Linked DNA regions of Arabidopsis thaliana. The protein of the gene in region 1 interacts with the protein of each later gene in a pairwise test. Each region holds a gene or a part of one and is shown on either strand. Other genes may lie near its edges.

Region 1 (15,883 bases):
GAGCTGGTAATCGTTTATCAGCCGAATCTTTGCCGTTAATCGATACGCGTCTTTTGTCCCAGTCAGAACTTCGCGCTCTCTCTCAGTGTTCTTCTCTATCTCCATCTTCTTCAGCGTCTCTCGCCGCTTCCGCCGGTGGAGACGACGATTTGACACCAAAGATCGATCGCTCCGTTTTCAATGAGTCCGCTGGTAGCCGGAAACAGACATTTCTCCGTCTCCGCCTTGCGCGCCACCCTCAACCACCGGAGGAACCTCCTTCGCCGCAACGTCAGAGAGACGATTCTTCCCGTGAAGAACAAACGCAAGTCGCGTCGCTTCTCAGATCTCTGTTCAATGTCGATTCGAATCAGAGTAAAGAGGAAGAAGACGAAGGAGAGGAAGAGCTCGAAGATAACGAAGGTCAGATCCATTATAACAGCTATGTTTATCAGAGACCTAATCTTGATTCGATTCAGAACGTTCTGATTCAGGGAACCTCCGGGAATAAAATAAAGAGGAAGCGTGGACGGCCGAGGAAGATTCGGAACCCTAGCGAAGAGAATGAGGTTTTGGATTTAACTGGTGAAGCATCTACGTATGTGTTTGTAGATAAAACTAGTAGCAATTTGGGAATGGTGAGTAGAGTTGGTAGTTCAGGAATCTCCCTGGATTCAAATTCAGTGAAGAGAAAGAGAGGTCGTCCTCCAAAGAATAAGGAAGAGATAATGAACCTAGAGAAGAGAGACAGTGCAATTGTGAATATTTCTGCGTTTGATAAGGAAGAGTTAGTAGTGAACTTGGAGAACAGAGAAGGTACAATTGTGGATCTCTCTGCATTGGCTAGTGTTTCAGAGGATCCATACGAAGAGGAGCTGAGGAGGATCACCGTTGGGTTGAAGACAAAGGAAGAGATCTTAGGTTTCTTGGAACAATTGAATGGTGAATGGGTGAATATAGGGAAGAAGAAGAAAGTTGTGAATGCTTGTGATTATGGAGGATACTTGCCTAGAGGATGGAGACTTATGCTCTACATCAAAAGGAAAGGTAGCAATTTGTTGCTGGCTTGTCGCAGATACATAAGGTATAATAATGTTTATGTTCTTCACTGGTTCTGTTTCTAGTTGGATTATAAAATAGACCTAGTATTGGCTGTGGAATTGGTTATAGCAAAACTAACACTTTGTTACTATTGAAGATATAGTTTTATAGGATTTGGTATATGATGTTTTAGTTTCTGCTGCTAGACTTTTGATTGTCCCTCTTGTTTGTTTCTCCATCTTCTTGAACATGATAAAAGATGTTTACATGAATTAAGGGCTGCTACTGAAATTGCTTATAGTTCGTTTGTGTACTCTCTGCCGTTCTAGGATTCTAGCTGTTGTTATCACTTTTAGTTCAGGATTCTGAAAATTTTCTCTTTTGTTTTTGATTATATAGCCCTGATGGGCAACAGTTTGAAACCTGCAAGGAAGTCTCCACATATCTACGATCACTTCTTGAATCCCCAAGCAAGAACCAACATTATTACTTGCAATCTGACAACAAGACTCTAGGACAACAACCAGTGATAGCTAACGAATCTTTACTAGGTAACTCTGATTCCATGGACTCTGAGACAATGCAGTACCTTGAGAGTGGAAGAACCAGCAGTGAGGTGTTTGAGGAAGCAAAAGCCGTAGAGAATGGCAATGAAGCAGATCGAGTGAAAACCAGTCTGATGCAGAAAGATGATAATGCAGATTTTCTGAATGGAGTTGAGGACAACGACGATGATATGAAGAAAAGAGATGGTAACATGGAGAATTTGGCGACTCTATCGAATTCAGAAATGACGAAAAGCCTACCGACAACGACTAATGAGCTTCAACAGTATTTCAGCTCACAAATCAACCGAGTTCAGTGACCATTTCTTTTACCTGGAACAAATTGTTTTCTCATTCTAGTTCAGATTTTATATTTTATGCAAACTAAAAGCGTGTTGTAGCTAACTACAGGATATAGAATTTGAAAGGGCCATGTACAAAACATTTGACAGAAACCAAATTTTTTCTTCAAAAGAAAATTTCTTTGAGTTTCAATCTGTGATTGATTTGGATTTGGATTTGGATTGGCATAAAAAAAATCTATGATTTGGATTGTGTTATATAATATAGAAAAGAACACAAACCCTTAAAATAATGGACAAGAGGACATGTCTTTCTCCGTTTATCACGGTCAGCGTCGTTAACCTTTTACGTTATTGACTAGATCGGGGTTTAATAAGAAACATATATTAGTTTTAGGTTCTTTCTGTGTAAAAACTAAACCTTTGTGGCTACTTTATAATTTATAAAACTTATGTTTCTGAGTTTTGTTGACTAAAAAAAGTAGATCCAACGGCTGATATAATACCACTATGAGAGGATCCTAGGGTTACTACTAATCTCGAAATCAATCAAATCAAAGCATCCATTTTTGATTCAGACTTCAGAGAGACAGAGAAGGAAGAAGAAGAAGAAGAAGAAGAAAAAACTATGGAGAATGAGAGGGAAAAGCAGGTTTACTTGGCTAAGCTCTCCGAGCAAACCGAAAGATACGATGGTATTTTCCGATTTCTGGATCTCTATTCAGAAAATGATTTGTTCATGTTTCTGAAAAAATCCGATCTTTTATTGCTCCGATCGAAATTGTTTTTACATTTCCATAGATTTTCTTTGTAGCCCTTTACCGATTTGTATGTTTCTGGGCTGTTACTTGATCTGGACTTTTAGATGCGACCTTTAAGTAATTTCTTGTTTAATGTTGTTTAGATACTCTGATCACTCTTGATCTTATCTTGATATAATTTTATACTTACTGTTGTCGAATCTCTTAGCATGAAAATGAAATAGATCTACGTTTTTGGAAGCAAATTCAAAGATCGGATATTTTTTTTTTGTTGGTGATGATGCAGAAATGGTGGAGGCGATGAAGAAAGTTGCTCAGCTTGATGTGGAGCTAACTGTGGAAGAGAGGAATCTTGTATCTGTAGGGTACAAGAATGTGATTGGTGCAAGGAGAGCATCATGGAGAATACTATCTTCCATTGAGCAGAAGGAAGAGTCCAAGGGAAATGATGAAAATGTCAAGAGGCTTAAGAATTATCGTAAGAGAGTTGAAGATGAGCTTGCTAAAGTTTGTAATGACATCTTGTCTGTCATTGATAAGCATCTCATTCCATCGTCTAACGCTGTGGAGTCAACTGTCTTTTTCTACAAAATGTGAGTGTCATCTTTATTATACTCTGACCATTCATGTGATATTTGTGTGACTAAGAATGAGATCATTTCCGTTTGACTAAAGTTAAATGTTTAAGTTATTACATAGCTACCACTCTTGCTTGTGTTCTTCCTGAAATGATGATGATTCATGAACTTTTCCTTGTTTCACTGTTTTGACTTTACGTGTTTTTTTTTCTTTCTATGTAGGAAAGGAGATTACTATCGCTATCTTGCGGAGTTCAGTTCTGGTGCTGAACGCAAGGAAGCTGCAGATCAGTCTCTTGAAGCATATAAGGTCCTTTGATCATGTTTATTTGTTTTCTTATTTTTGTGCCACCCCTCTTATATTTGAGCTGGGAATAACCTAAGACAAGTCTTGCTTTTTTCGTACTGGGAATGTAGGCTGCTGTTGCTGCTGCAGAGAATGGTTTGGCACCCACACATCCAGTTAGACTTGGCTTGGCGTTGAACTTTTCAGTTTTCTACTATGAGATCTTGAACTCTCCCGAAAGGTTTGTTTTTGTATTTTGGATTGAACATAATAGTGGAATCTGTGGTCATTTTCTGACACTATGAAACTATGTATTGTACAGCGCATGCCAATTGGCTAAGCAAGCATTCGATGATGCAATTGCTGAACTTGACAGCCTCAACGAGGAATCATACAAAGACAGCACTCTTATTATGCAGCTACTTAGAGACAATCTCACCTTGTGGACTTCAGACCTTAATGAGGAAGGAGGTATTCTTATTTTCTTTTGTTTCCCTATCTCATGATCAAATGGTTTCCTTAGAATCAAATGAGCTGTTAAGAGCGTTACCTTGGAGTAAAAATGTTGATGTTTGGGAACTCGTAACCATTAACCATCTGTCTATATTTGAATTAAACCGTCCTTTATGCATGTATTGCTATGTAGATCTTTCATTTTAGTTTTGAAAGCCTCAACAAAAAACATACCAATCTACCATCTCATAGTTATTGGATTCTAGCTAATCTTGTAAAAGTTATATGTTTGTAGCAGAAAACATTACTAGTTTCTTGTTTCTCTTCCAAAGCTTTTTCACTCACCTTTTTTTTTTCCCCTCTTAGATGAGAGAACCAAAGGTGCTGATGAGCCTCAAGATGAGGTATGAAAAGCCAGTTTTGTTATAAGTTAAGCTACTTACTGATTTTTCCATTTTGCATTGACAATTAGACCACTCATGGAATTACTGAATCATTGCAGAACTAAATCCTCTGTGAGAAGAGAAACGACTCTTGCTGCATCCTGAATCTTGAAGTGAAGACAGTAAGTGTCGTTGTTTGTTACTCGAATGTGTAATTTTTAATCTATGTCTTTCTTGATGGTGTTTTCCAGATTCTTGAACTTTTCACAACACAACACTGCGTTGCGTATCTTCAACCCTCTTATGATGTGGTTGAATTCTGTTTTACGCTTAGTTTGCTTCTTTTGTTGTTGAATTGAGCCAGCAGGCATGATTTGGGTTTTTGTTTATCAGAATATTAGGCGTATCATGGTCTCAAAATTAAAAACCAAAACAGACAAAGCTTTATTCGAAGTTTGTAATAACTAATAACTCCTTGCAAAAATCATGAAAGTCTGAATTCAAGAGGCTCTTAATAATTTGCATAAGTGATCCCAAACTTCACAACTTTTCAATTTGTGGATGTTTGCCCTCTTTGTGGCCAAGGAATCATCCTCAAGTGTGTTTCTCTACGGTGGTTTGGTCCGTAAGTGTGTGACATAATAATGGTTTGGTTCTCCCAACATGACCCTCAAAAAGGATCTCTATGCTCTAAATATGGGACTCTTGTAAGTTGTAATTGTAACCAAATGCTATCACAAACTCTCTAACTCGTACCAACACTCATTGTGTCTAATCCAATCGAGAGCCCTCAAAGTCTAAAACATGTTAATCAAACTGTGAACCAGTTAATCCTTATAGAATCAGATATCTTTTTGTCAACCATCTAAATAACATTTTTGTCACGAATTGACCACTTCCCTCGAGAGATTTTGTAGTGTTTTCTTTAATATTTTTATATGTCCAATGAATAATAATTTCATACATCTATCGAAAACTTCAATTTTGAGCTACAAATGATCAATTCAAGTATTCACTTGGCCCAACTTCTAAATTCTTTAGGTGAGTTGTTGCTAGCACAACAAATGCTACAACTGTCAAAAGCAAAGAGACAACACCTTCAAATATTAGGTTTGACTAATAAACAGAGGATCATGGTGACGATCTTTGCCAACTCTCACCAAATCAACCTGAAACCTTCAAAACAGATTTGATGCTATTGGATCCAGCGCCAATAGGACACTTGTCATTAGCTCATTTACTTTTCTATTCTTTAAAATGATGAGTGAAATCGAAAAGTCTTGAGCAAGAAATACAGATTACAGTTTCTTCTTCTCCAAGCATCTATTGTTTAAGAGAGAAAAAGAAGAAAAGCCATGGAGAATGAACAATCAACGCACGTTCACTTCGCGAGTCTCTCTTCGTCAAGCGAGCGCTACAATGGTACTTTTTTTCCAGAACAACTTCTTGAATCTTAACATGCCTTCACATTACTCAATACTCCAAATGTTTTGTTGCAGAAACATTTGAAGAGATAAAGAAAGCGATGAAGAAAAGTGTTCAGCTTAAAGCGGAGCTATCAGCAAAGGAGAGAAATCTTGTATCAGTGGGGTACAAGAATGTGATTAGCGCAAGGAGAGCTTCATTGGAAATACTATCATCCATTGTGCAAAAGGAAGAGTCAAAAGGAAATGAGGAAAATGTCAAGAAGCTTAAGAATTATCGAAACAAGGTTGAAGATGAGCTTGCCAAAATTTGTAATGACATCCTGTCCGTCATCAATAAGCAACTCATTCCATCGTCTACCACTGTGGACTCCTCTGTTCTTTTCTACAATATGTGAGCGAAAATGTGTTGTTGTGGTGCTTGAGGCGCAAAAGTGTTGCACTGTTTTGGCTATACTTTATGTTCTTTCCAGGCTGGCAGACTTCAGTTCTAATGCTGAAAGCAAGGAAGCTACTGATCAGTCTCTTGATGCATATAAGGTCCTTGGCTCATGTTTGTTTTTGTGCCTTGAGCTCGGAACAAAATAAACTGAACAATATGTTTTGTGTTTTGGTAATGGCAATGTTGGTTGTTGTTACTGCTGCAGAGACTGGTTTGGTACCAACAGTTCCAGCTATACATGACTTTGAATTGGACTTCTGTTTTCTTAAACTCTCCTGAAAGGTTCCTTTGCTTACATGCATACATATGATTATTTAATGAAATCGGTGTGGTGTTACTTACTAACAGTCTGAATCAGTGAAACTGTGTGTTGTACAGTGCATACCAATTGGCAAAGCAAGCGTTCGATGATGCAATTAATGAATTTGACAGTAAGTGATGAATCAAACAAGGACATGACTCTTATTATACAGCTACTCAGAGACAATCTCAACATGTGGACTTTAGACCTCACAGAAAGAGAGGAGGTAATCTTTTTATTTCCCTATCTGCCTCCTCTGATGATAGATAGATAGTTTCCTTTGGAATCAATATAAGCCATTTTTGTGAAATTTTGTTAGTTCTTGTACTGTTATGAGGAGCCTAAACTTTGATTCGAATGTTAATGCTTGGGAACATATTTACGGCTTTGTGGATCTTTCATTGCTTAAACGCCAAGTTGTTGAATTCAAGCAAATTTTGTTGCAAGAAACCAATTAGCATACTAGTTTCTTGTTCTCTTCCAAATCATACACTCAACTTTTTTTTTGTTTCCTCTTATCCAAAAGTGGTGATGAGCCCCAAGAAAAAGGTATGAAAAAGCCAGTTATGTCAAAATTTAAGCTACTTGAAGATTATATTTTTCATTTTGGCATTGCTAATGGAGTTACTATACCATTGCAGAACTGAATCTTGAATCCTATGCGAGAAAAGAAACGACTCTTGATGCATATCCTGAGTCAAGATGGGTTGGAATCTGTTTTACACTTAACTTGCTTCTCCTGTGTTGAAATTTCAGAATATAAGACACCATTTGGGGTTTTGTTTGTCGGAGTATACCTAAAGAATCATTGCTTGTCACCGACGTTTCTTCATTCTTTCTTTTTATAGCCAAATGAATACTATAATCCCATTGGAGCACTGAGGAAGAAAACTCGAGAATTGCTTGGTACATCTTCCTCTATAGCAGTTGCAAACAGTTCCACAAATAAAACACAATGAAAGTTTTTCAACGCCTAAGCTAAGTCTTTCAATAATGAAACCCTTTTCAGTGATAAATTTCTGCAACTATTTGCAACATCTCAATCTCTGAAAGACTTTGCTTAGAATTATAACAACAAAACACAACCAAATTGTAGTAAACTGATCCATCTTATTTTTAATCCTTCCAAGGATAATGACATTTACCAACAACAATGATAAGGATAACTTTTGCTTATTTTGTTTGGCAATGTAAATCTCTTACAAATAGCAAACACTTTGGTTAACATATATATATGCAAACCTAATCCAAAAGTACTTTCACATATTTGTAAAAACATCCTAATATTTATATCCCGATGATTAAATATAACAAATCAACCAATTATAATAACAAAACCCCCCATCACCCACCACAAAACTCCATTCCCCACTCCTTTTTTGTTCATTTTCTTATCGTCTTTAAAACACACAATTTACACAACGAACGCACATAAGCTATAGCAAGAAGCAGCTAATCACAAATTGAAACTTAGACCGGTCCTAAACCGAACCAGAATCATCAGAGTCGAATCCAGTGAAAACAAGCTTTTTTGTCCTGATGAATCTTTGATTGAAATTATTATATAAGGAACCCATCTCCCCGTAAGTATCCTTTCAGAGAGTTTGTCATCTGAATCGGACCACGACACAAGATATGTCGTCTTTACTCTCTCTTCTCAATGCTTCAGCTGTTAATTCCTTTGCCGCTTTCTGTGGATCTTTCACTCTTCTCGCTATCTCCATTGCCTCTTCATTTGTCATCACCTATTAACATGATCATTACAACAAAACAATCAGACAAAAATGGTCTCAAAACACTCATTTAACAAGAGATGAATAATATATACAGAGAACAAGCCATTATTACCTTCCAGATGCCATCACTAGCCAAGAGAAGAACATCTGTCTGGCTATCTACAGTAGCTTCTTTTATGTCAGGCTCTGAACTCAAGTGTGTCTTAAGTCCCTTATCTCCAAAAGCACGAGACACAGCTAATTGACCATTCACCCGAGGAACATCACCTGTTATTAAAACATCACAGCCACATCATCCTCCTTGTCAACAAAATCATTCTATCTTCATTAAACATTCAATACTCAAAATAAGTTCTTTACCTGGTAGATTGGATACAAATCCACCTCTATCTTCAATACTCGACCTTTCAGTACGAGGCTCATGATCTGTACTCATCTGCGTTATAGCGCCACCATGAGAAAGAACAGCTCGTGAATCACCAACATTAGCTATCCACAACTTTCTCCCATTAATCAATATAGCAGTCACAGCAGTAGAACCACCACGACCCAAGTCAGAACTATTCGATAGAATCGCTTGGTCCGTCTTCTCATAAGCTTTTGCAATAGACCTTCGAGGATCAACCCAAAACTCTCCCTGCATAAAAAAAACAATACACTTAAAGCTATGCACATGTTCATTAACCCAAGAACAGTAGAACAGTAACCTTTTTTTTTGTTTTTACCTCCTTAAGGATATTGGAGAAGAGACGTTTCTGCAAGTAAGCAGGGACACTATCACCCATATGACCATCATAAATAGCAAAAAGACCCAATTCATGGTCTTGGATGTTGATAAAGTTAGCAACATGATAATCTTCCATTGGATGGTTAGCTTTTCCTTTCACTAGACTAAAACCATACTTGATCATCCCTTCATCACTTCTTCCTTTACCTGATCGTGATGATGATTGTCCTCCCACAACCTAAAAACCCACACCAATAAGATCAATCAAAACACAAAGCTCTCAGATCTTTCACTTCTAAGACAAAATTATTTCATCTCATAACAAAAAAAAAGAAATTGTTATATAGCCAAAAATTCGATAATCATTACCTCAGAAGCGGAAGTGAAGCAACAAAATTTTCCCATTTTTTTTGAATCGAAGAAAATTTCTTCGATTTTTGCAACCTAATTGAAACTTGCGGAGATTTATTCAAATAAACAAAACAATCTGCAGAAAAAATAAATTCAGAAAGCGAAATTAAAATCTTCATTGAGCAGCTGGGAGATGATAAGAAAGAGGGGATTTTTACCTGGAAATTAAAAACCCTAATTTGGTTTTCAATTTTTTTTTGTTTGAGGTACTCTCAACGATAAATCTACAAAGTCTATGCGACGAAGTCTTCGCTCTCTTTTCGTTTATGTCTTTTTCCTACGCGAAATTATATATATATATATATATATTTTTATTCAGTTGAAAGAAAAATAAAAATTGAAAGCTATCTGTATTTTTTTAATATTGCATCAACGTCCTTCATATATATAAATATTTACTTTACGCCTCATATGAATGAATTTTAAATTGTGACTATAATAGATTTCGATTATTTAATTTGGGTAACAATAATTGCTTAACCTTTAAATTGTAGTTTTGTTTAGGTGATGAATTTGTAACATACATTTGCGTTGTATTAAAGTAAAATGAGGGTGTAGATATGACAATAGGAACTTTGGGATAAAAGTGAGAGGTTTTGGAATTTTGGGGGTGAAGGTTAAGATAAATTAGGGGAAGAAAAGGAGAGAGAGAAAGGGATGGAGCAAAAAGGAGTGATCTGGTCAAAGAAAATAAAAAAGCTGCCATTTAAAAATTTTAGTCTTGGCTATTTGGCATGTTGACTTCCTCTTCCTTTACATTTATGTCATCTCCTTAACAATCCCTATTTTATTTTTTTATATGCGTTTTTACTATTCAGACATGAAAAAATGTGCGAAACTATTTAGAAAATTCATATATATTTTATTCCTGATATACAAATATCCAGAAAAATAAAACACAATCCTTTGGTTTTTGATATTTATTAGGACGTATTCCGCAAGAGTTTTATTTAATATTACAAAATATAAAACATTTTTGCTTAGAGAGATTATTATGAGTAAGTAAAAAGTAAATGAATGTTTCGTTTTCACACAAATTAATGCATGAAATTAGCAGTTTCGTAGAAAAACATATCCATTTTGGATTTGATGGCATAACGATTGCGGTAATTTTTACATTTTCTTTATACAACTAAAAGTTCAAGAACAATTATGAAGTGCTTAATTGAGTAAAATATAAAATATCAGGTCTCTTCCCCATTACCAGAAATCTCAAAGTATCAACGAATGCGACAAGAAAGTGGAAAGGGTCAAAGGCTTCGACGCGTTTACTAGCCATCTTTTTGTTTCTCCATTTAATGTGATTCGCACACATTTCATGACTTTTTGACCCTTAATCTAGTTTATTTAATCAAACACACATCAATTTAGCTACCTTAGCTTCCTTATTTATACATACAATTTTGATTGCTAGCCTAAAACAAACGATTTGTTGCTTAAAATAATAAACTTGTTCGTCTAAACCTCCGTGATATGTTCCTCTAAATTAGGTTCATAGGCCCCTAGTCATGTACAGTAGAACATCATGTACTCATTTTCAATTGTGGGCCTTTTATGAGCCCATTTTCTTACTATGTAAAGTACTGGTACTGTATGTTAATGAGCCCAACAGCACAAGAATGTGAAACTAGATACAATGTATGAGTTTGTATATATATACAAATACTGATAGTTTTATTCTATGCTTATATGAATGGCTTCTGATCTACATGATTTGTACTGCTTTCCACTTTCTTCCTTGTGATTCTTCTCAGGTCTCAGAGAGCACTCCGCTTGGAATCAGTGTTCTGTGATGCCAATAATTCAACAGAAAACTGTTAACCTCAAGAGCAAATGAACCACTAATAACACCAACGTATACCAAATCTACAAATATAGAAACAGCTATAAAGATGACAAATAGATTTAACACTTTTGATTGATGCAAAGGTTTTATCAATGTTTTTTGAAGACAGCTACTGGATCAGAAACAGATTGCGGATTATTTCTCTTAACAACATTTACAAGTTTTTGAAACACTAGGATATAGTTATTCCACGTTATAAAAATGAGATAGTTGATGCAAGCAGCAAAATGTTTATGTAAATCGGTGAGCAAGCTTTCACAAATAGTATGTATCTGAAAGTGAGAGAGAGATAGGGAACTGACTTTGTGTGGTAGACTTCAATCAAATGCATAGGGATCATCAGCATATGGGTTGAGGGAACCTTCTGAAAACAAGTCTCCAATATTTGCAGAGTGAGGATGATCGGCCATTGCTGTTTCCTGCGCTTAAAAGACCAGAATAATATGCAGTTAAATCAGAAATGTTTTTAGAAACCTAGCATCATCCATAACTTCTTGGCCTGAAAACTTCTACATTATACTCGCATAGACATAAAGCTTGGTTAAGCAGCCCTAAGTCTGACCTCCTATTGTTCCATTATGTCTGTCAGTTAATCTATTTTACTATTAAGGAAGGTGTGACGAAATGAATATAAAACGTTTTGTGAAAATATGATTTTTCTCCTATCATCAAATCTACTTTTTTACTCTCTGCTTCAACACTAGTTGACTGATGTGAGGGTTTGTTCATTTCAAAGCATCAGTTAAAAGTAGTGTATTTGTATTTTACCTTCGCGATGATTGTGGGGGTCATCAATTTGGGTGTCAACCTAGTACTGCGTCTTTGTGGCTCCTGTTGCCAAACAATGTAAAGTTAGATATCTTGAATATGTCTATATAGCAGGATGGACAAGCTGACCTGAAACATTGTTGTCTGTCTTGTTTTTCTCCGTTTAGGTATCCTCCCATTATTCGTTTCAACCTCATACTCACGATGAGTTACCTGCCAAGTTGAACCACAAGCCAAACAATGAGGTTGATTTCAATGTAAAAATGCAAAGCTTCATATGTTTACCTTGCTATGATGCTTTGGATTTGTCGCTTCCTTCAATATATTTGACACAGATGTTACTTTTGCCTTTACAAAAGGAGATTCCTGCGTTTGATGATCCATGAGAAAGTGTTAATGTGTTGCCTTGACGAAGCGGAAACGAAAAGAAGAAGAAGATATTTATGATTCTCTGACTGTTCGTCATAATTTTCTGTCCTCACCGTTATATGCTCGCTTCTCTTATTACCACCAAGACGAGATTCTTTCACTTTGACCGACGAATGTGAATAGTCCTACAAGGTAATAAACACCATGTCAATCTCTTACCCTGTTTACGTTATGAAAATAAAGAAAGGAGAACTTGCATTGTCAACTGAATGTTGTATATCTTAAAGTGTATAGATAACGATTAAGGAAGAAAATGAAGTCCAATCTAACCTTGTTTGAGTTTACTTCTTGCTCCTCAGGTGGATTGTCACTCATCACCTTCCACTGTAACTGCACCAAAGCTCTTTGCCTCTCTTCCTGCAAGGTTAGCCCATAAGTTAAACTCATAAAGATTCATCTTATAATGGATCTTAAAAAGCACTTACTTTTTTCCTTTGAAGATCTAATTCTTCTTGCAGCTTCTTGCAGTCATCTTCATACTGACACTTGAATGCTTTCAACTGAGCATCATGCTCACTCTTCAGAGCTGTTATCCTCTGGATAAATATACAAAATATTCGAATACCAGAGGCTCCTTATTCTTTCATCTGTTTGAGCTATGAATTTATATCTGTGTGTACCTCTTTCAGTTCATTTTCAGCCTGAATCTGATTTTGTCTCAGTTCCTGGTCATACTTGGCTTTGAGATTGAGCTCCTTACTCTCGTGCTCCTCCCGAATATTGAGAATCTGGGGAACACGCAGCTTTTCTGAGTTAATATGCAAAGTAATTTTAACTTCCATGCTGTCAGAAATAAACTTCCAAACAGATAATGCATACAAGAAATACAAGAACGTTTCGGATTTGATTAATTCATTCAAAGCTCATTTGGTGATGGTCAGAACCATCAGATATTTTGGAATTTATTGATGCTATCAGACAATTGGAACAATGCATGAATGCAGTAACATGATAAGATGTGGTAGCTTTAGCTTAGAGATTCGCAAAGAAGCCTTGTCCAAAAAGTTCATAAATCATTTCCAACATACCCGAGAAGAATGTTCCTCTTGAATGGTTAGCAGTTGCCTCTTTGATTCTTCTTTGCAATCTGAGAGTCCTTTATCATATTTAGTGGACAGCTCTTTGATAATTTTTTCAACCTGGAGTTAGAACCACAATAAACATCATCAATTGTTCAGAAGACTAAAACGAAAGATACTGTAGTCATTATACCTTGTCCTTTTCAGAATTAATAATCTCATGCTTCTCTACATCATACTTCCTCCTGATCTCATTAATTGCCTAAAAACAACATAGAGAGATAAATTAATTGCTTTAGTGTCTTTGCATATTGCATTCAGATTCAGCTAAGGGCCTCACGATTCTTATTCTACTAAATATATGGAAACATTGCTACAGATATACCTGGTCATTCCTCTGTGATAATTCTTTTAAGTGCCTTGATAATTCCAACTGTTTACTTTCTAGCATCAGGTCATATTGCTTCTTTGCTTCTGCAAGCTTAGTTTCAGCAGTTGCGAGTAGCTCCTTGTCCTGCAGTAGGATTCATATTTGATGAGTACTAAAAAACCTTAAACCTATGTCCCAGAATTTACTTTGTAGACCTTAATGATTTGTTGGTTTATATTCTTCTCGTTCTCATTGCACTGGAGGATTAGATGCCCTTTCTCCTCTATAATGGTTTGGAGCTGGTTCACCTCTTTCGCCAATAAATCTGCCTGCAGCTGATGGCTCTCACTCTCTTTCTGCAAAGTCTCTAGTTCCCCAACTTGTCTTTGTGCATCTGCCTGCAGTTTCTCGTACTTATCTTTGCTTTCAATCTCTAATGATGAAAGCTTTATTGACAATTCTTTCTGCAATATATACAAGAAAAATATAGTATTACAAGAATGCATTAGATACAGTGCATAGGGATATAAAATTATTTTATACCTTCTTATCCTCTGATGTCCTTACACTTTCCAATAAAGTATCTATTTCCTCTTTCAACTTCGAAATCACTGATTCTGTTTCAGCATTCTTTAAAACCAGTCCTTTTGCTTCAAACTCCAATTTATCAATGGTCTGGCTTGCAGAGCAGCGTACCCCAGAAAGTTGAGATATTAAAGATTCCTTATCATTCTGGAGCTCAACTATTTTTTCACTTAGCTCATTGCCTGAAGATTCCAGAGCTTCTTTTTCGGCAGCTACTCTAAATAACTCGCCCTGGAGTTGATCAAACGATCTCTGAGCACGATCTGATGCAAGATCTCTGTCTTTTCGCAACAACATAAAGTGGGTATCATATAGGCCACTTAGTTTATCAAACTTTTCCTTGAAGGTCAGATTCTTTTTGTCTAATTCAGTCAGCTCAGCTATCAAATAGTGGACTAATTCATCTAGCTTCTTAACCTCCTGCTCTGAGCGGACAAGTTTTTCAAACAGTTCATCTGAACTCAACTGAACATTCGTCTTTTCTTTCTCCAACTTCTCCTGGATACTAACAAGGTGTATGACCTCGTCTTCTTTTGTTGTTAACTCAAGATGTAGCTTTTCCAGTTGGGAATTCAATTTTTCAATTTTGAGTTTTCTTTCAGCTGCGGTTGTTTCCAACTCTGTTATCACAGCATCTGCCACAGAAGAAGCACTCAGTAAGAAGATACAATTGTTTTATATCATGAAAGTCTTTCAGAAACATTGCTTTTTCCCATCTACTGCGTGGCCACATTTTCAAGCTCTTGAAATCATAGTCTAGAACAAGACTAATTCAACCATCATTTTTTTACTGCATGTGACCAATGGCATTGTAAATTTAAAACGAAGGAGAAATGTACCTTTCTTCTCAATGAGACTGGCAGTTCCGCACCGTTCAGTTTGATAGAACATTTCCTTGTGTTGTTTCTCGAGTTTGAGCTCCTCCAATTCCTTATCTCCTGCATTTTTAACTCAAAGATGTTACAAACTTGGATACCAATTGCGTTACAGGTCAAAACATAGAATAATGCAACAACTTACTGCTTGTGATTTCTTCTTTAGCAGCATCTAATCTTAAAGACATGTCTCGCATTTGCTGGTTTAAAGAGTTTATTGCTTCTGAACTAGTATTGAATTTGGTCTCAAAAAAACCTTTATCCTTCTCAGCTGCAGATGCAAGTTAGGAAACAGATAAAGCAACACAGCGTATATAAGATAATTCACAAAAATCAGATGGCTGTATGATCATTTACTCTTACCATCCTGAACTTGAGAAGCCAAATGCTGCAGAGTCTCAGTAAGTTGATCACACAGAGTCTTCGTTGAAGAGAACTTAGATTCCAGTCCTCTCCACAGCTTCTCATCTTCCTTTTGCCTAACTCTGAGCTTAGCATTCTCATTAAAAGCGCTCTGCAGTTTCTCCTCTAAGGCATAGACATGCTCCATTGACTTTTTCAGCTTACAATTCTACACCATTGGAAAAGCAAATTTCCTTTCAAATATGTCTATGCCATTACC
Region 2 (15,936 bases), on another chromosome or scaffold:
TTCCAACGAGCCATATGTCAATGTTTGTTACGCTACAATTTTTATTTTTCTTATTTCTTAAACTTTTTACTTTGGAATAAGTTGATATGTATATGAATCATCTACCATTTCTCGTTTTTTCACAATAAATCCTAAATTTTTTGAACATTTTGTCTATATATAACTTTTCCATGACATAAATTAACCTTAGATAATATTGTATCTAAAGGTATAAACTACCGTTCCAAGTCTGATTAAACTATTGACCCTAAACATTTTTAAAACTGTTAGATCCACAAGACGCACAACTAGTTGATTGCATAGTCTTTTGAAACAAGACAAACAAACACTATATCAAAACAATATCATCTTTCTAATTTTATTTTAGTTATGTCGCTATCTATATGAACGATTTTCCGATAAGCTAGTCATATGCAAAAGATTTATAAAAAAAGTAATATGTTGACGAGGAAAGTGATAGATTGATAAATTAAGAACATAAATGTTTTTGAAAAGAAATTATAGCTAAACTGTCATAAAATAAAATTATAAAATAGATTAACTTATATATAATAGAAGCAACTTCAGTTTTTTAAAACATTCATGGAATTAACGATGGATATCGAAGTTTATTGGTCAACCTAAAATCATACCCATACATTTTAGTATTTATTGGACGACCTCAAAAATCAAAGTCATTGTCGACCATTGTAATACAGTTAATGTCGCATACTATGCCTCTGAATCATCCATCCATATTTTGTTAAAACGAAGTGAGTTTGTTAACTACAAAATTTCCAATTATTGGACTATACATTATATTTTGTTTATCCACAGGGTTTTTCACATAAATTAAGAAAATACAAAATACTTAAGATCTTGAAAAATTATGTAAGTTATTTTCTTGCCGTCTCATTTTATTAAAGATAAAACAGAAAAAATAAACAAACAGGCCGAGGCCCAACAAGGTCAAGGCCTAGTCCAAGAAGCGAAACCCAAACATGGAGGAAGAGAATGAGAGGAGTCATCACAGAGCCAGGTGTTACGAAGAAAGTGAAACTACAAGTACAAGCATATAGTACTAAGTACTAGTCGCAATTTGGTCACAGACATAATTTCCTCGAAAACTGGGTACATTGTAATATTTCGTCGGAAAAACGTCGCAAAATCTAATTTTTAATCGCCGAGTAAGATGTTTGCGTCTTCTCAGAATCTCCGTGAGTTGAAGGAAAATGATTCGCGGCGGAAGAAACAACATTACTTCCGCTCCGGCGTTTTCGAAAGACGCAAAGAAGCTTCTTTTATGCACAGCCAACACCGTCTCTGTTTACAGCGTCGCCACTGGCTTAAAGGTTTTATCTCTCGACTCGAGCATCCTTCCTTTTAGGGTTTCCCTCTAATCTTCTTCTCTCATTAGCGTATGCGTGTGTGTGTTTTTAAGATTACTTCACTCGAGGATCATACAGCGCCTGTGACGTCTGTGATTGTTGATCCGTCTTCCGACGAAACCGTCAGTTACTGTTGGACTTCGTCGCTCGATGGGAAAATTCGGATTTGGGAGTTCTCTGCGCCGAAGCTTTTGAAGATATTTGATACCCACCTTCCAATTCACTCTCTGGTCTGTTAAAGTTCCATACTTTGCAGCTTATAAACAAAAATTTGATAACTTTCAATTGCCCTTTTCTAAGTGTCTGTTGGGACTTTGTAGGTGATGATTCCAGCTCAAGTGTCACATTCCGTGATTGCTTATGTTTCGGTTGAGGACTATTCAAGTGTGTCCAAAGATTTGTTTGGACAAATCCGGAGATATGATCTCACTCAAGACCCTCTTCATAGTGGAGACACTTTGAAAGAGGTCAGATTTGTGGATTAACCATTTTTCGATTAGCCTCATGTTTGATTCTATAATCATTTTTGTTAATGTGCAGATGGAAGAACCAAAACCTATTGTTTTAAGTCCCTCTGGAGAGTTTTTCGGCGTCTGTCATAACTGCAGTATACATATATGGAATGTGGCATCAGAGCACCTCATGCCAAAGGAGACGACATTACATCATACAGAGTTGATTACTGTTTTTGCTTTCCATCCCAATCAGAGAATATTAGCAGCCGGTGATGTAACAGGAAGAGTGTTAATTTGGAAGGATAATGGTATTGGAGAATTTACTTCAGTGAAAACTGAAGATGATACTGAATCTTGCACTACTTTCAACTGGCACAGCGCTGAAGTAACCGTCCTTAATTTCTCTTCAGATGGAGCACTTTTGTATTCTGGTGAGTCTGAGTTATTTTTTCATCATAGTGACTGTATCTCTGTGTGTTGATAAGGAATTCATGTTTCTTATATATATATATATTGAGTTCTTATGCTATATTTCCTTTGCTTGTGACTCTTTTAGGGGTAAAGGCAGGTGATTTTGTTGTTTGGGAGCTAGGTACAGGGAAGAAGCAACTTTTGCCAAAGATTGGATCTCCCTTGTTGTATTTCATCTTCTCTTCAGATTCAACTCTTTCTTCTGTAAGAGTTTTTCCGTTTACAACAACCGTAGAAAGCAAATGAAGTGTTTCATTAACTCTACTAAGATCAAGAATTTTCAGGTGATTTGTGCAGATAATCAAATTCATCTTCTTAAAATGCCTTCCATGGAGATATTGAGAACGATATCTGGAATCAAGGTTCGTTCTTACTATCATCCGAAATTTTTCCTTGTTATTGTTGGTTTAAGCATGCTCATATTGTATACCGTTTCTGTTGGAGTTAACTTCACATGCATATTGTGTTCTTTACTATGTAATAGCCTCCGACACCAGAGCGTCACGGGTTTATATGCTACGTCAAAACGCGGGATATATGCCTCACCAGAACTGTATCCATTGATCGTTCTTCCGGTATAGCTGCTTTCTGCACAGCGAATCATCGTGTTCAACTCTACAACCTTTTAAGTGACCATGACATTTCAGAGGTTAGCTTCCCAAAAGGCTTATTGAGTTTTGTATCTGATAGTTGTATGATTTTACTATTTAACAAACCTAACATATGCAGGTTCAAATTTGCGATCATCATCCAGACGATGATGATCAAGTCCGGGTTAGTACATTTTGTTTCTTCTCTGTAAGATGACATAGTTGTTACTAGTAAAAGATCCGCTCTCTTTCTGTTTTGTAATAATTTGAAGAATTATGGAAAATAGGTTCTCGTGACTGCGGTTGCTCTCTCTCGGAATGGCTCAGTAATGACTACAGCTGAGGCCAGATTTGCTGCAAGCAATTTCAGTGAAGGCATAGTTTCTCTCAAGTTTTGGGTATTTGTACCGGACAGCAAAACTTTCAGCTTATCGACAGTCATAAATCAACCTCACAGGTTTTTACTTCAATGTTCTTATAAACTTTTAAACTCCTTGATTCTCATCGTGAGTGTAACTTTTGATCCTTCTGTATTCTCACAGGGAAGCTGCAATTACAGCCATTGCCCTTAACCCCGCCCGTTCCATGGCTGTTAGTATATCTTCTGCTGGGGACTTCAAGGTAGGATTACAGAGTAGTGAAAAATGGATCATTTCCTTGGAATATCGTTTGACCTTTTGTGTTACTGATATGACTTTATGTCTGTCAAGATTTGGGTTTGCAGTAGCGACAAGAATCTGACACCTGAGGACTCAAACTGGATTTGTCATGGAGTTGGCTCTTATAAGTAAAAGATTAGGAACCTTTTAACATCTCTCATTACTTAGTCGTTGTGATGTCAAATGAAATTGATGTAATATTTTTCAGGAGAACGCCAATAACAGCTGCTGTTTTTTCCGGGGATGGTTCTTGTCTGGCTCTTGCGGCTAAAACAGTTATTACGATCTGGCACCCGTTAAAGAACGAACTCCTGTATGTAGTTGGAAAGGCAAATGCGGTAAGACTTGTATAACACACAAAAGCAATTCCATGTTCATTAGTTACAGTCATTGTTGAAATCTTAAATGATATGTAAATGTTTCAGCCAATTATGGAACTCTCATTCACTGGAGGAGGCTTCCTTATTGCTGCATCCCATGGTTCCACACCGCACTTATCTGTCTGGGATCTGATGACGTTCTGCTTATCATGGTCATATAGATTATACATAGAAGGTTTATTATTTATCTTTTTGATCATGAAATCTTGATTTTTTTGGTTGTCTAAGTATATTTCATTTTTCCTGTTTATTTGCAGCCATTGCTACTGAAGTGGACTCACCATACTTTGCAGTTTTAACATGGCTTCCAGAATCTGATAGGTTGGTAAAATCTAACGAACAGATATTCCGCGGGAAAGATGGTGCTATCCTCTTGTTTGATGGGTCAGGCCCTAAACCAGTAGCTATTTGGACTGTAATGAAGGTATATACTCTAAGGAAGGATTAATCAAAGTTCTCTCATTGCCGTTAAGAGACTTGATTACAATGTTTATTGCAGGCCAGAGGAGGAACACTTTCATTTGTGGAAGATGGTAAAAAGTCTCAGCCGCTTCTCGCGTATGTAAACAGGAGCCATGAATATGTTCTATTTGATCCTTATAGCGATGAAAAACTCGAGACTAGCGCCATAGATTATGAAGTTTTTCTTGCAGCAATAAGCAAAAAGAAGAAGAGATCTAGGAAGAAAGCATTGATGTCAGAGAAACCTTGGGAAACAATGTTTTGTGGATCAACACTCAATTTCCCGCCTTTCCCCGACTTGTGCGCTTCGTTCTTCAGTTCCCGGATGCAGAAAGAGGTGTGTGAGAGAGCAGATAGACAACCTGAAAGACATAGCTCTTGAGAGACCCCATATTTTGGAACCCAACTTGGATAACATCATTTTGTTGGTAGCCTTTTTGTTAGAGATACAATCTGATTCCTTCAGCTACTAAAAGGGTTGTTTTGATATTAAAAGGGCTTCATTCATCATGTAGAACCTGCTGATTTGAGGTGTATAAACCAATTCTCTCTTTAATACGTAAAAAAGTAAGGTCAATTGTAACGTATGGAAAAAGAAGAAGCTAAAACAGAGTAGTGGACGATAAATTATATTTAAAATTGTGACTGAAACATAATTTAACAAATTGAAAAACATAAATCGAAAGCAATTTGTGTTTTAAAGATCGTAGTCCGCAAGGTTGAGTGGGTTGCAAGTATCCTAAGTCGTATGTGGTCAAGCAGGAGGATTCATGGAGGCTGCAGGAGGAGACATCATCGGTAGGAGGGTCTCGGGGTCAAAGCCGTTGGCTCGTAGTAAGACATCTTGCGCTCGCTTCATCGCAAGCATGTTGTTGATGACGTTGTTGGAGAAGGTGCGGAATTCAGCCTCCAAAATGGTGACCCGCATATCCATGTCTAGGTTAGGCTGGATGTGCTGGTACTGAATTGAGCCAAGTCCGTCGTAGTCACACCCTTTGGTTGATGTGACGTGCTGCAAAAGAAACGAGTATTATAGAGATGGCCTTCAAACTTGGTGAACAAGAAATCACAAGGGAGAGAGAAGAAAACAAAGATAGATAGACCTCATGGGAACGTTCATCAGAATTGGCCCGGAGAAGATGAAGATCGGCAAGGATGTGTGTCAAAATGGAAGCCCTAAAGAAATCAGAGAGGGTCTTCTCTAGCTTCTCCATTTTCTTCATGAGATATAACTGTCGAATCATATTCCAACGATTGCATGTTAAGAATTTGTCCATGAGTTTCTTGCCCTTCTCTAGAGACTCAAAGAGTATACGGATTTGAGCCTGGCGGTGAGCAGGCAGCTCAACTCCACTGTACTGGATCTCTTTGATCGTCGGTTGAATGTTCTCGATCAAGGTGCTGAGGTTGTCGGCTGTGTTTTTGTACCGGCCTGCTCTCGCAGATATCAGAAAGAGCTGCTTCAAAAGCTCCGTCGCTATCTCACCGGCGAAATAATCAGTGACGGCCATTTAGTAAAGGATATGTTAAAGAGAAAAAGTGTGGAGATAGAGAGCTGAGAGACAAGGGGATATGAACTAATTAATCTGTATAGAGGAGGAATTCACCGGTGGAAGTTTCCTAGCAACTCGAAGTGACAAGTGACATCTCCATATAATATTTGTTCAAGAGTTCAATGAAGAAGAAACAAGGAAATTAATGAGAAGGTAGACGTATATTTTATTTTGGCATATTGTCTTGTTTACAAATTTTTAATTAAGGTTTCTTAGAGTCAAATTACTGACATATACACTGACGTAATATGATCATATTAAATCGTTTGATTGGTGTATGTACATATTACTGCTGAGTTTGTGGTTACAAGCAAATCTTATAGATTCCTTTTTATTTTTTACTTTTTTTCTTTAAAACTTAAGCAAAAACATAAACATGACCATATTGTTATAGATTCTAAAAAGTTCAAAAACTTAAGCAAAATTAACGTCAATGAATTACAATACCAGTTGTATACTATTAAATATAAACAAATTATAAAACGACGAAAACTTATCATATATTTTTCAATCCTGCTCTTTAAGGCAATATCAGAATATTGGATAATAAGCTTAAAAAGCAACGTTAAAAAAAAATGAGAGAGATATTTACATTTTTTGTAGTGTGTGTGATGGTACAAAATACAAAAAAAGAATTGTGCTTTTATAGAATAAAAGGTTAATATTTTATTTTACCTTTTGTTTTTTTTATTTATTACAAAATTATGGACTGCCGTTGGACCACTCACATTAACGTATGAGAAAGAACTGTACGCAGTTAATCTACTTTTATTACTAAAAAAGCAATAAAACAAAAATTGTATGCAGTTAGCCGCCTGATTTTTATTTTTTTGCTTATTAAAAATTAAAAACAGTTTATCTGTCACACATTTTGGACTACCAAAAATCTGACTTACCATTCAAAACTTTTAATATCGATCCATAAAATGCAAAAATAAATTAATCTTTTCGTTCTACCTCAAATCTCTAAATTAATAAAAATATGTGATTTTAATTTATACATATTTTCATGTATAAGTATAACTTCCACACGCAAGCACAGTCACACTATCAAATCTATGGATTCAGGTTACTTATGACACGACGATTATATATTAATATTTATCAATCACTATACAAATATGACACAACATCACAATTCAGTACCGACTACAAGTCGCAGTTGCGATTAATGATTGGATAAAATTTAGTAAACATATACGCGATAATTGTCCTCACGATTAGTGTGTTTCGCGTATGATTGATTATCTTGTAAAGGATGATGGACCAACTATACACATTAATAACGTGGTCGCGGATTCGTTTACCAAATCAAGAAAATACATTTCTATGATCCACTAATGCTCTTATATTTTATTTTAATGATTAAAAGAAACGGTAGAAACCATATTTGAAAGCGTCAGCTTCTGATCTATATAAACCAACAAGTGTTATTTCAGCAACCAAAACAAAAACACGAGTGGAAACTTTTAAACAAGAGAGGGAGAGAGCGAAATGGCGACGTCGGGAACATACGTGACGGAGGTACCGTTAAAAGGAACAGCAGAGAAACACTTCCAGAGGTGGAGGAACGAGAACCATCTCTTCCCTGACGCTGTTGGCCACCACATCCAAGGTGTTTCTGTTCACGACGGCGAATGGGACACTCACGGAAGCATCAAGATTTGGAACTACACATTGGGAGGTATATACCTTTATTATACGTTGGAAATTATTTGCATCATTACATATGAATATGACCCAAATATAATTTGACTGATACGTACACATGAATGTAAAGATGGAAAGCAAGAGGAATTCAAGGAGAGGAGAGAGATGGACGATGAGAATAACACAATGAAGGTTGTAGGACTGGAAGGTCACGTGATGGAGCAGCTCAAGGTGTATGAGATCGATTTCCAATTTATTCCCAAGTCTGAAGAAGATTGCATCTGCAAAATCACTATGATATGGGAGAAGCGCAACGATGATTTCCCCGAACCAAGCAGCTACATGCAACTCCTCAAGAGCATGGTTATTGATATGGAGGACCACGTCCTTAAAGCTTAATCAACATCACCATCATCCCTATATGTTTATTAAGTTGTTTTCAATTATATCTAATAAAGTGTGTTTCCTTTCGGAATGCTATATTTTCAATTATATATAATAAAGTGTGTTTCCTTTCGGAATACTATATACGTACCATGTGGTTTCTTAAATCAATATATAAGAAAATGGGTCTTGTGGAGTTACTTTCTGTAGCATATACCTTTAGATGTTGACATCTTTTCCATTCAAGATACACTTGGAGACTAAATTTTACGGTTTCAAGATGATCTAAAGCTTACCAATTGAAGGGAACTGAAATATTTGTAATATATAACAAAACTTCTCAAATTCTTTTATTTTCATGTCGTATTTATTGTAAAACTGTTTTTTGGGGTAAAATATAATTTTACATTCATACCAAAAAAAAAAAAAAACTTAATTTTTCTGAACTAGAAGGATGATGGACCAACTGTACACATTAATAACGTGGTCCGGAATTATTTTATCAAATAAAGAAAATAAATTTCTATGACCCAATAATGTAATGCTCTAATATTTTATTTTATAATTTGTAAAATTAATGCTCACTAAATACTTTAGGTTGAAAAATGAAGAAGAGAAGTTTCTAGCATGATTAAAAGAAACAGTATTCTTAAGCGTCATCTTCTCTATATAAACCAAGGCAACAAGTGTTATTTCATCAACCAAAACAAAACAAAAGAAGAAACACGAGTGGAAGCTTTTAAACAAAATTAAAAAAGAGAGAGAGAAATGGCGACGTCGGGAACATACGTGACGCAGGTGCCGTTAAAAGGAACGGTGGAGAAACACTTCAAGAGGTACAGGAACGAGAACTATCTCTTCCCTGACACTATCGGCCACCACATCCAAAGTGTTACTGTTCACGATGGCGAATGGGACACTCAAGGAGGCATCAAGATTTGGAACTACACACTCGGAGGTATACCTTTCTTTATATATTAGACAATTATCTAAACTTTGAGTATGGGGCATGGGTTGATACCCAACATTAATTTGCAAAAAAATATATATGTGATCATAATATCATGCATATTCATCCTTATGAGGCCATCTCCATCAGTGTTAAGATACCAATTTGGATTTCTTAGTAATATTTTAAACATAATTTAGGTCTGTATTTTTTTTTATGGTCAATCAATTTAGGTATGTATTTAAAATTTTACTTTAAACAAAAAATCTATCATTAAGTGAAGGACATGTATCCATACCTTTTCTCATCAAATTCTACAAGTTTCTTGTTGAGATCTTTTCTTTTTATGTGTTTCTCTCCTCTCTTTTTCTTTTTTCTAAATAGGTGAGATTTTCTTTAGAACCTAGCCCATGGAGGTGGCCTGAGAAGTCTAACTATTGACATGTTGGAAATTTATTGCATCATTTACTTAGGCTATCAACAATGGTTTTTCCATTCAACACCCTCCACATAAGCTTCTTTCCCTTCCACATCATTTTCTCTCTCTTTCACATAATAATTCAATACCTACTCAAATTTTATACTCTACAATGGTTTGTTTAATAAAATTCAACACCCTACCCCACAAATTTTTATTTCATTATTTTTCTTTTCTTTTATGTTTTAAATGGATAAGTAATGAAATTTTAGGGGTTAAATGAGTTATTATTGGGATCCATTTCACTGGAAAAAGCAAAAAAAGATATAGATACGAGTTTAGCGGCTAATGAAAATTTTTTAGTGAAAATAGATGTATTTTTTTCTATGTTCAAATCAAATGAAACAAATCTCTATTTATAGAGTTTAAAAAATGATGAATTTTAGTGTAAAAATAATTTAAAACAAATAAATATTTTATAAGATAATTGACCTCCAATAATTCAGAGGAAAAGAAAATATAAGAAATTTCAGTAGCAAATAAAAGAACATGTCCTATCTTTATTTAACTCTCCCCCACAATTTCTGTCTCCAATTATTTAATAACAAGTGGTAATAAAGGGTCCATTTTTAAAGATTCAACATTGTTGAATCGATTCAACACCATTTAATCTACATATGATTCATTTCTTTATTCAATACCCCACTGTAAGCATTCAACTATTGAATAAATTTTTTCAATAAGCCATTGTAGATAGTCTTATATAAATATGACAATAATTTAATTTACACGCTTTAACAAAAAAAAAGAAAAAAATAATGATTTACATGTATGTAAAGATGGAAAGGAGGAGGTATTCAAGGAGAGGAGAGAGATAGACGATGACAATAAGATAGTGAAGGTTGTAGGATTGGAAGGTCACGTGATGGAGCAGTTCAAGGTGTATGAGATTGACTTCCAATTTATTCCCAACTCTGAAGAAGATTGCGTCTGCAAAATCACTATGATATGGGAGAAGCGCAACGATGATTTCCCCGAACCAAGCAGCTACATGCAACTCCTCAAGAGTATGGTTATTGATATGGAGGACCACGTCCTTAAAGCTTAATCAATATCACAACCACCACCATCATCACAACCACCATCACCATCATCCTATATATTTATTAAATTGTTTTCATTTATATATAATAGACTAGATAAGAACCTGTATAATGTGCGGGATAAAATGATTGAAATAAATTATTATGTATAAAATTATTATATGAGATATCATATATGTTTGTATACAAGAAAATATGTAACTAAAGTTTTCGTTTTATTTAAATTTACGTTTATTTCGTATAAAAATACGTTCCACCTATAAAATATTTGAAACTGAAAAAAATGATTTAATTTTTTTGAAATCTTTTGATTTAGGCTGTATGTTAAGATTCTCTATAATTAAATAAAAAAAGATAATTGGATCAAAGATTAAAATCGAAAGAGAATCCAAACTGTTTAATTTTATATAATTTTTTCTTGTATATATAATAAATTTTAACTTTTAGGATTTTGTTAGATATGTTGTTTCACTATTACTTCATAAAATTATTATATGTTTGAAATGATGCAATAAAATATTTATTAACAAAAAAAATAAATATATATTCAGATATACATGTCAATAATATTGTATATTACGGAGGTCCTAGACATAACAGAAAAGACAAAGTATTATTTTTGAAAAAGTAATAAATAAGTTCCATTGAAATAAACTTGTAATCGAACATCTACATCAAATTTTCATTTTCCTGATTTTTTATTTGTTAAGCATATATATATATTAAAACTCAACCAGCGATTCATGAGTTTGTTCATGTTTGAATCGTAGTTTTTTTTTTGTAACGGTTGTCTTGCCCTGTGCTATCTGATTGATGTCAATCTTTCATTGCATAAACAAGCCCATGAAGCCATGGTCATCGTCGTTGGAGTCTTTGACTTGGCGGTTAATGGGCCTTATATAAGTCAAGCCCAAATTATCTGGTTTACGGAAATGTGGTGGATGAACTGTTGAAGGAAGAAGACGACGGACACTACTCACTAGTGTTTTAAGAAGACTGATGGATGATATATCCGGCCAGGGTTTGATTCTCCGATCTGCTTGTTTTCGTGTACCCTTCTTTAAAGTTTTAATCTTTCACTCGAATTTTGAGAAGCTAAGCTCGATTCAAGAGCAAGTTCCTAGCTTCTGTTTAGGGTTTTAGGACTTTTGTAGGATTCTGGTACAGTTTTCAGTATCTATAGGCTTTGTTGTGTTCTACGTGGTGTAGATATGGAGTCTTATGTGTTCTTGTTAGTGATTGTTCCGACATTTGTCCTTGCTGATTTGTTGATAATGTCTGATGTTGATGAGATCCCGAGTAGACATACTGTAAACCTTTTGAGATGGTGCAATGAGATTACGCAGATCCCTCATCTACGGCTCAAGAACAGTCTTTATTCGTTTGAGTTCCTTCTTGATAACAAGAGCTGGAGAGCTTCCGTGCACAGGTTTCAGATGGGTAAAACACGTTATGCTCATTACCCACTATCTATCTGATGATATCTTGGCTGATGCAGGATGGCATTGCACGGCGTATCAACGAGTTTATATTCAAGATGAAAGCTTATAGTCATTACTCATTATGATAAGAGTGAGGTTTGGTCATTTCTTTGAACCAAGAAACATAATGTATTGTAATGAGAGCATACTACAATTTCTCAAATTATTTTGCCACAATCTGAAATGAACACAGATTAGTATTGACAATTGTATATTATAGAAATGAAGAGTTTATTAAGAACTTTATTAACTGTTTTGTTACTACAGTATAACTGTTTCTAGAACAGAGCTATATTGCTCTTTTCAAAGAATGTGTCTTGTGTGTGTATGCTTGCTTATGTGCTTATCATATCAACATTCTATTTCTCTTTTTTTCTTACTGAAAGTGCTATCTGAACACTAAAGGTTGTTATTCAGTTCCTCTACTCTTTTGGTTTAAGTACGTGTAGAGTTTGAAGAGGCAGATGCAATTTCTTTCAGATACTTCTGCTCTGATCGGGTCATTCTTTTCTGAAACATTGTCCATTCCCGTTTACATCTCTCTCTTACCTGATCAAAACATGTATATAATTCAGTAATTAACAATATACTCGGTCTAGAACCCGCTAAGTTCAAGAACCTTCTAAGTATATAACACAAGACAATAGCCGCGGTTGAGTTGTTTTACCCCTTGGAACGCGGTTTTCCCTTCCTGCGCGGTTCCCTGATCAATGTATTTGAGAGATCATCTCATAGTTAAAACTATGAACAAAGAAGCTAGTAAATAATGTAGTTGAGTATAGGAAGATAAAGTTTGATCATTTAATAACCTGGCTGCCTAAAGAAGGAATCTTTTGATGAATGATCCATTGAGAATCCACAACACCAATCTTCTCATGTGCAGGCTGTTTATTGAATCATTAAAAAGTGTTTCTTCTTAGTTTCGAAAACGTTTTGTAAAATTATACGCGTTTGTGAATAAGTTGTATTTGTATGTTAACCTCGACGCATTTTCTTAGCGCAAAGTCAAGACCCCAACCGTGAACCAAGTCATTCTGAATCATATGCCACACACAACGCCATGCCTCTCTAGAGAAAACTGGAGCCATAATCTCTATAAACCTGATAAGGAACCGTGCAAAACTTAATGGATCAAGAGAGTATGAATACTTATTGTATTGGTTTTGACAAATGAGATCCATACCCTGCACAAGGAGGTAGGTGAGGGTCATTGCAGCGGCCTGGTTTCTCTTCGACTTCTCTGATCAAAGAATTTGAAAAAGAATCACTATCTTTACTTTACTTAAACCATGGCATTGTACAGTTTATATCAAGAGTTAATTGTTTTACTTGTGAACTTCGATTCCGGGTATTCTCTTTGTTATCTTCCATGTGATTGATTTTCTTGATTCCACAGCGGGTTGCGATATTTCTAGACCATGCTTATTCACAATCTTGATGTACCTGCAATAATGTAGAAAACATTTCATAACAGTTTCTGATTATATTATCAAAAGAAGCAGAGTACTTACTCTTCTGCGTCGAAGTTTTCAACGCCAAGATCTTCATCCCAAATGAATATATATTCATATGGTGCTATGATATCAGGATGCAGAAACCTTTTAGCATACCACCTTCAATAGAAACATATTCAAAACGTTTTATTTAAAGCTTTAGATCAATGGAAACTGAGAGATAAAAAAAAAGTGTTTGTTTTGTTACCACTTGGTTTGCTTAGGTACACTGACGTGTATCGCCCGTTTAGACCATTCAAATTCATCATACTCCGAGGTTTTTCCATCGTAATGAAACAGAACAATGGTGAAGTTATCTGAGAACTATTGAGAGAGTAAAAGATATTAGTTTAATAAGAGTGAAAGATTAGAAGCAAAGGGGAAAGAGAACAAAAACTAGAGACATACTTTTTTGACACAAGCATCGATGTTTTTTCTTTGTTCATAAGAAACAGTAAAAGCAACAAGATACTTAGGCTTCACCACTGGTAAATCCTAAAGAAAAAAAACATGATTTAGAGATCAAGTCAATGATTAAGATGTTTGAAAGATCATTAACAAAAACCTAGAGATGTTATTACATCTTTAGGCAATCCCCACAATCTTCGTAAGTAAAAATCCGATTCGGCTGCAACAAAACTTGGAGGTAACATCTCTGCACCTCGAGGATTCGATGGAACCCAAATCTGCAGAATATCCAAACAAATCTTGTAACTAAATTCACTAAAGATGAGTAATGTTCACAAGGGAGAAACAAAAACATGCCTTATGATGATGTGATGCATCACTTTCGTTTTGTGAACTCGTCTTAGATGATTTCTCCGGTTTCTCATTTTCTATGTAGACAGTAGCAACAGAAGGAAGAATGCTTGATGGAAAATTCATCTGAAAATATATAAACACATCTTTTACAAAATCACACCAAAACATTATTTCTTGAAAAAAAGTAAAATTTTAAAAGTGTTACCTTAGTTAGTGACAATGTAGGGAAAGATATGCCTAATAAAAATCCGATAACTATTCCCGCGAAAATCGATATTACGAGCATCATACCGTCATTCGGTTTCTTACTATTTGAACTGCACAAAAATAAAAACAGAACACTAGGAATCAGTAATCATCATCTCTTTCACAATGAACTCAAGGATTCAATAATCTTGTAAAAGTCACAAACCAACGCATTGAGTTGTCTGCTCTGTTTGCCATGTTCTGAAATTGGTTAAGTTGACCAGAAACAATATCATTCAGTCTCCGAGACTTCACTATCTGCATCATGTCATAAAAAAAAAAGCTTTTTAAGATTCATATCAAATTATCATATGACTTCATAAGTGAAAAAAAAAACACAACTTAAAGAAAATTTCACTTCTTGAACCGAAAATTTCACTTTCTTACACGGTACATATAATTCACTTTCTTACACGGTACATATAATTCAGAGCTAAGAGAAAACTTGAACCGAAATCAAGAAAAACCTAACGACCAAACTCAAATCAGGTCAAGAAGTATTAACTCAAAAGATGAGAGAAAAATGAATTTATCTTATTAAAGAGAGCCTTCTTTCGTAAGAAATTACGTACCCGTAATCTAACAAATAAGACAAAGCACAAAATCACAAGTTATGAACTCTGTTTTTTTCTTTAACATCTAAGTTATGAACTTCATCTATGATTGTGAATATAAAACACATAGAAACGAAAGTAATTTGTATGACAACTATGTGGAATAAACTAAGGGCAATTATGTCATTGATGAAGACGTGAACACAAACTTGCTTAGTTTTGAAAAAGGAAAAATCAGCTAGTAAAAGAAAAGTTGATAATCAGCAACAAAGAAAGATCAAATATGGATGACAAAAAAAAGAAACAAACAAAAAGATTACCAGAAGAGAATATAGAAAACAAAATCTTTAAAATTCGTCGTCTTCTTCGAAAAAAGTTGTCTGAGAATTTGATTTTCCTTAGTTTTATTGGTCTGAGATATGTTTTAGTTCTTCGCGGGTTTAATAATAAAAACGATTAAGAGAAAATAATTAAGAAGAGAACCTGTAATCAGGTGTGACGCGGTGCACGGGATTACGTGAGGAGTTGACTTTTAAGAGGCTCGTGGAAGGAGGGTGACTCTCACGAAGCAGCCAGACTGGAAGACGGTGTAGTCCACGCGCTCAATTGTCCACGTGGTGGTTTATGAATGGTGATTCGTGGCTAATTAAGTGGTATTAAGAATATTATTTTTCTTGAATGACATAATTGCCCTTTATGAATATAGATGAGTCTTAGGTGAAGTGGAGAGGACGAAAGCATATGTGGTTGATACAATAATACGAAAGAAAGAGTGTGTGAATATGCAATGGGTAATTTTAAAGTATTAAGTGTTTTAGCAATATGGTTAACACTTATTTTGGCTGTTATAGAAAATATGTCAAAACAAACAAAAAAATAGAAGGAATAAACTATTTTAATTTCCAACTGTCTCAAATTAATGAAAAAACCTAATATCTCTCGACAAAAAAAAAAAAAAA

The links.
Region 2: the proteins of PAPP2C (region 1) and AT3G26470 interact in a two-hybrid assay, tested with the Arabidopsis thaliana proteins (one study listed by BioGRID).

What each region holds. Positions count from the first base shown.
Region 1 is NC_003070.9:7,867,716-7,883,598, reverse strand, and holds PAPP2C (phytochrome-associated protein phosphatase type 2C), read right to left. Parts: upstream 9,733-15,883; 5' UTR 9,528-9,732; intron 9,446-9,527; 5' UTR 9,364-9,445; coding exon 9,328-9,363; intron 9,197-9,327; coding exon 8,939-9,196; intron 8,869-8,938; coding exon 8,592-8,868; coding exon of another isoform or gene 8,545-8,591; exon of another isoform or gene 8,499-8,544; coding exon 8,344-8,498; intron 8,241-8,343; coding exon 8,103-8,240; 3' UTR 7,768-8,102; downstream 1-7,767. Other genes in the region: MBD8 (methyl-CPG-binding domain 8), read left to right, coding at 1-1,063, 1,420-1,885; GRF10 (general regulatory factor 10), read left to right, coding at 2,496-2,562, 2,915-3,221, 3,429-3,516, 3,624-3,733, 3,815-3,963, 4,312-4,349, 4,448-4,453; AT1G22290 (14-3-3 family protein), read left to right, coding at 5,684-5,750, 5,828-6,146, 6,226-6,292, 6,400-6,476, 6,573-6,625, 6,702-6,769; ZYP1b (Myosin heavy chain-related protein), read right to left, coding at 11,533-11,634, 11,984-12,046, 12,113-12,196, 12,269-12,349, 12,466-12,537, 12,683-12,769, 12,838-12,948, 13,033-13,140 and 8 more. UniProt on the Arabidopsis thaliana protein: Involved in the regulation of phytochrome signaling. May regulate phytochrome-interacting factor 3 (PIF3) through the dephosphorylation of phytochrome.
Region 2 is NC_003074.8:9,676,103-9,692,038, reverse strand, and holds AT3G26470 (Powdery mildew resistance protein, RPW8 domain-containing protein), read right to left. Parts: upstream 6,108-15,936; 5' UTR 5,896-6,107; coding exon 5,488-5,895; intron 5,397-5,487; coding exon 5,139-5,396; 3' UTR 4,767-5,138; coding exon of another isoform or gene 4,422-4,766; 3' UTR 4,397-4,421; downstream 1-4,396. Other genes in the region: AT3G26480 (Transducin family protein / WD-40 repeat family protein), read left to right, coding at 1,212-1,331, 1,421-1,597, 1,688-1,834, 1,908-2,253, 2,379-2,497, 2,578-2,655, 2,778-2,942, 3,023-3,067 and 7 more; AT3G26460 (Polyketide cyclase/dehydrase and lipid transport superfamily protein), read left to right, coding at 7,432-7,621, 7,718-7,986; AT3G26450 (Polyketide cyclase/dehydrase and lipid transport superfamily protein), read left to right, coding at 8,740-8,929, 10,178-10,446; AT3G26445 (beta-1,4-N-acetylglucosaminyltransferase family protein), read left to right, coding at 11,293-11,325, 11,596-11,919; AT3G26440 (transmembrane protein, putative (DUF707)), read right to left, coding at 12,358-12,471, 12,590-12,625, 12,732-12,806, 12,903-13,023, 13,106-13,162, 13,252-13,365, 13,434-13,535, 13,624-13,739 and 6 more.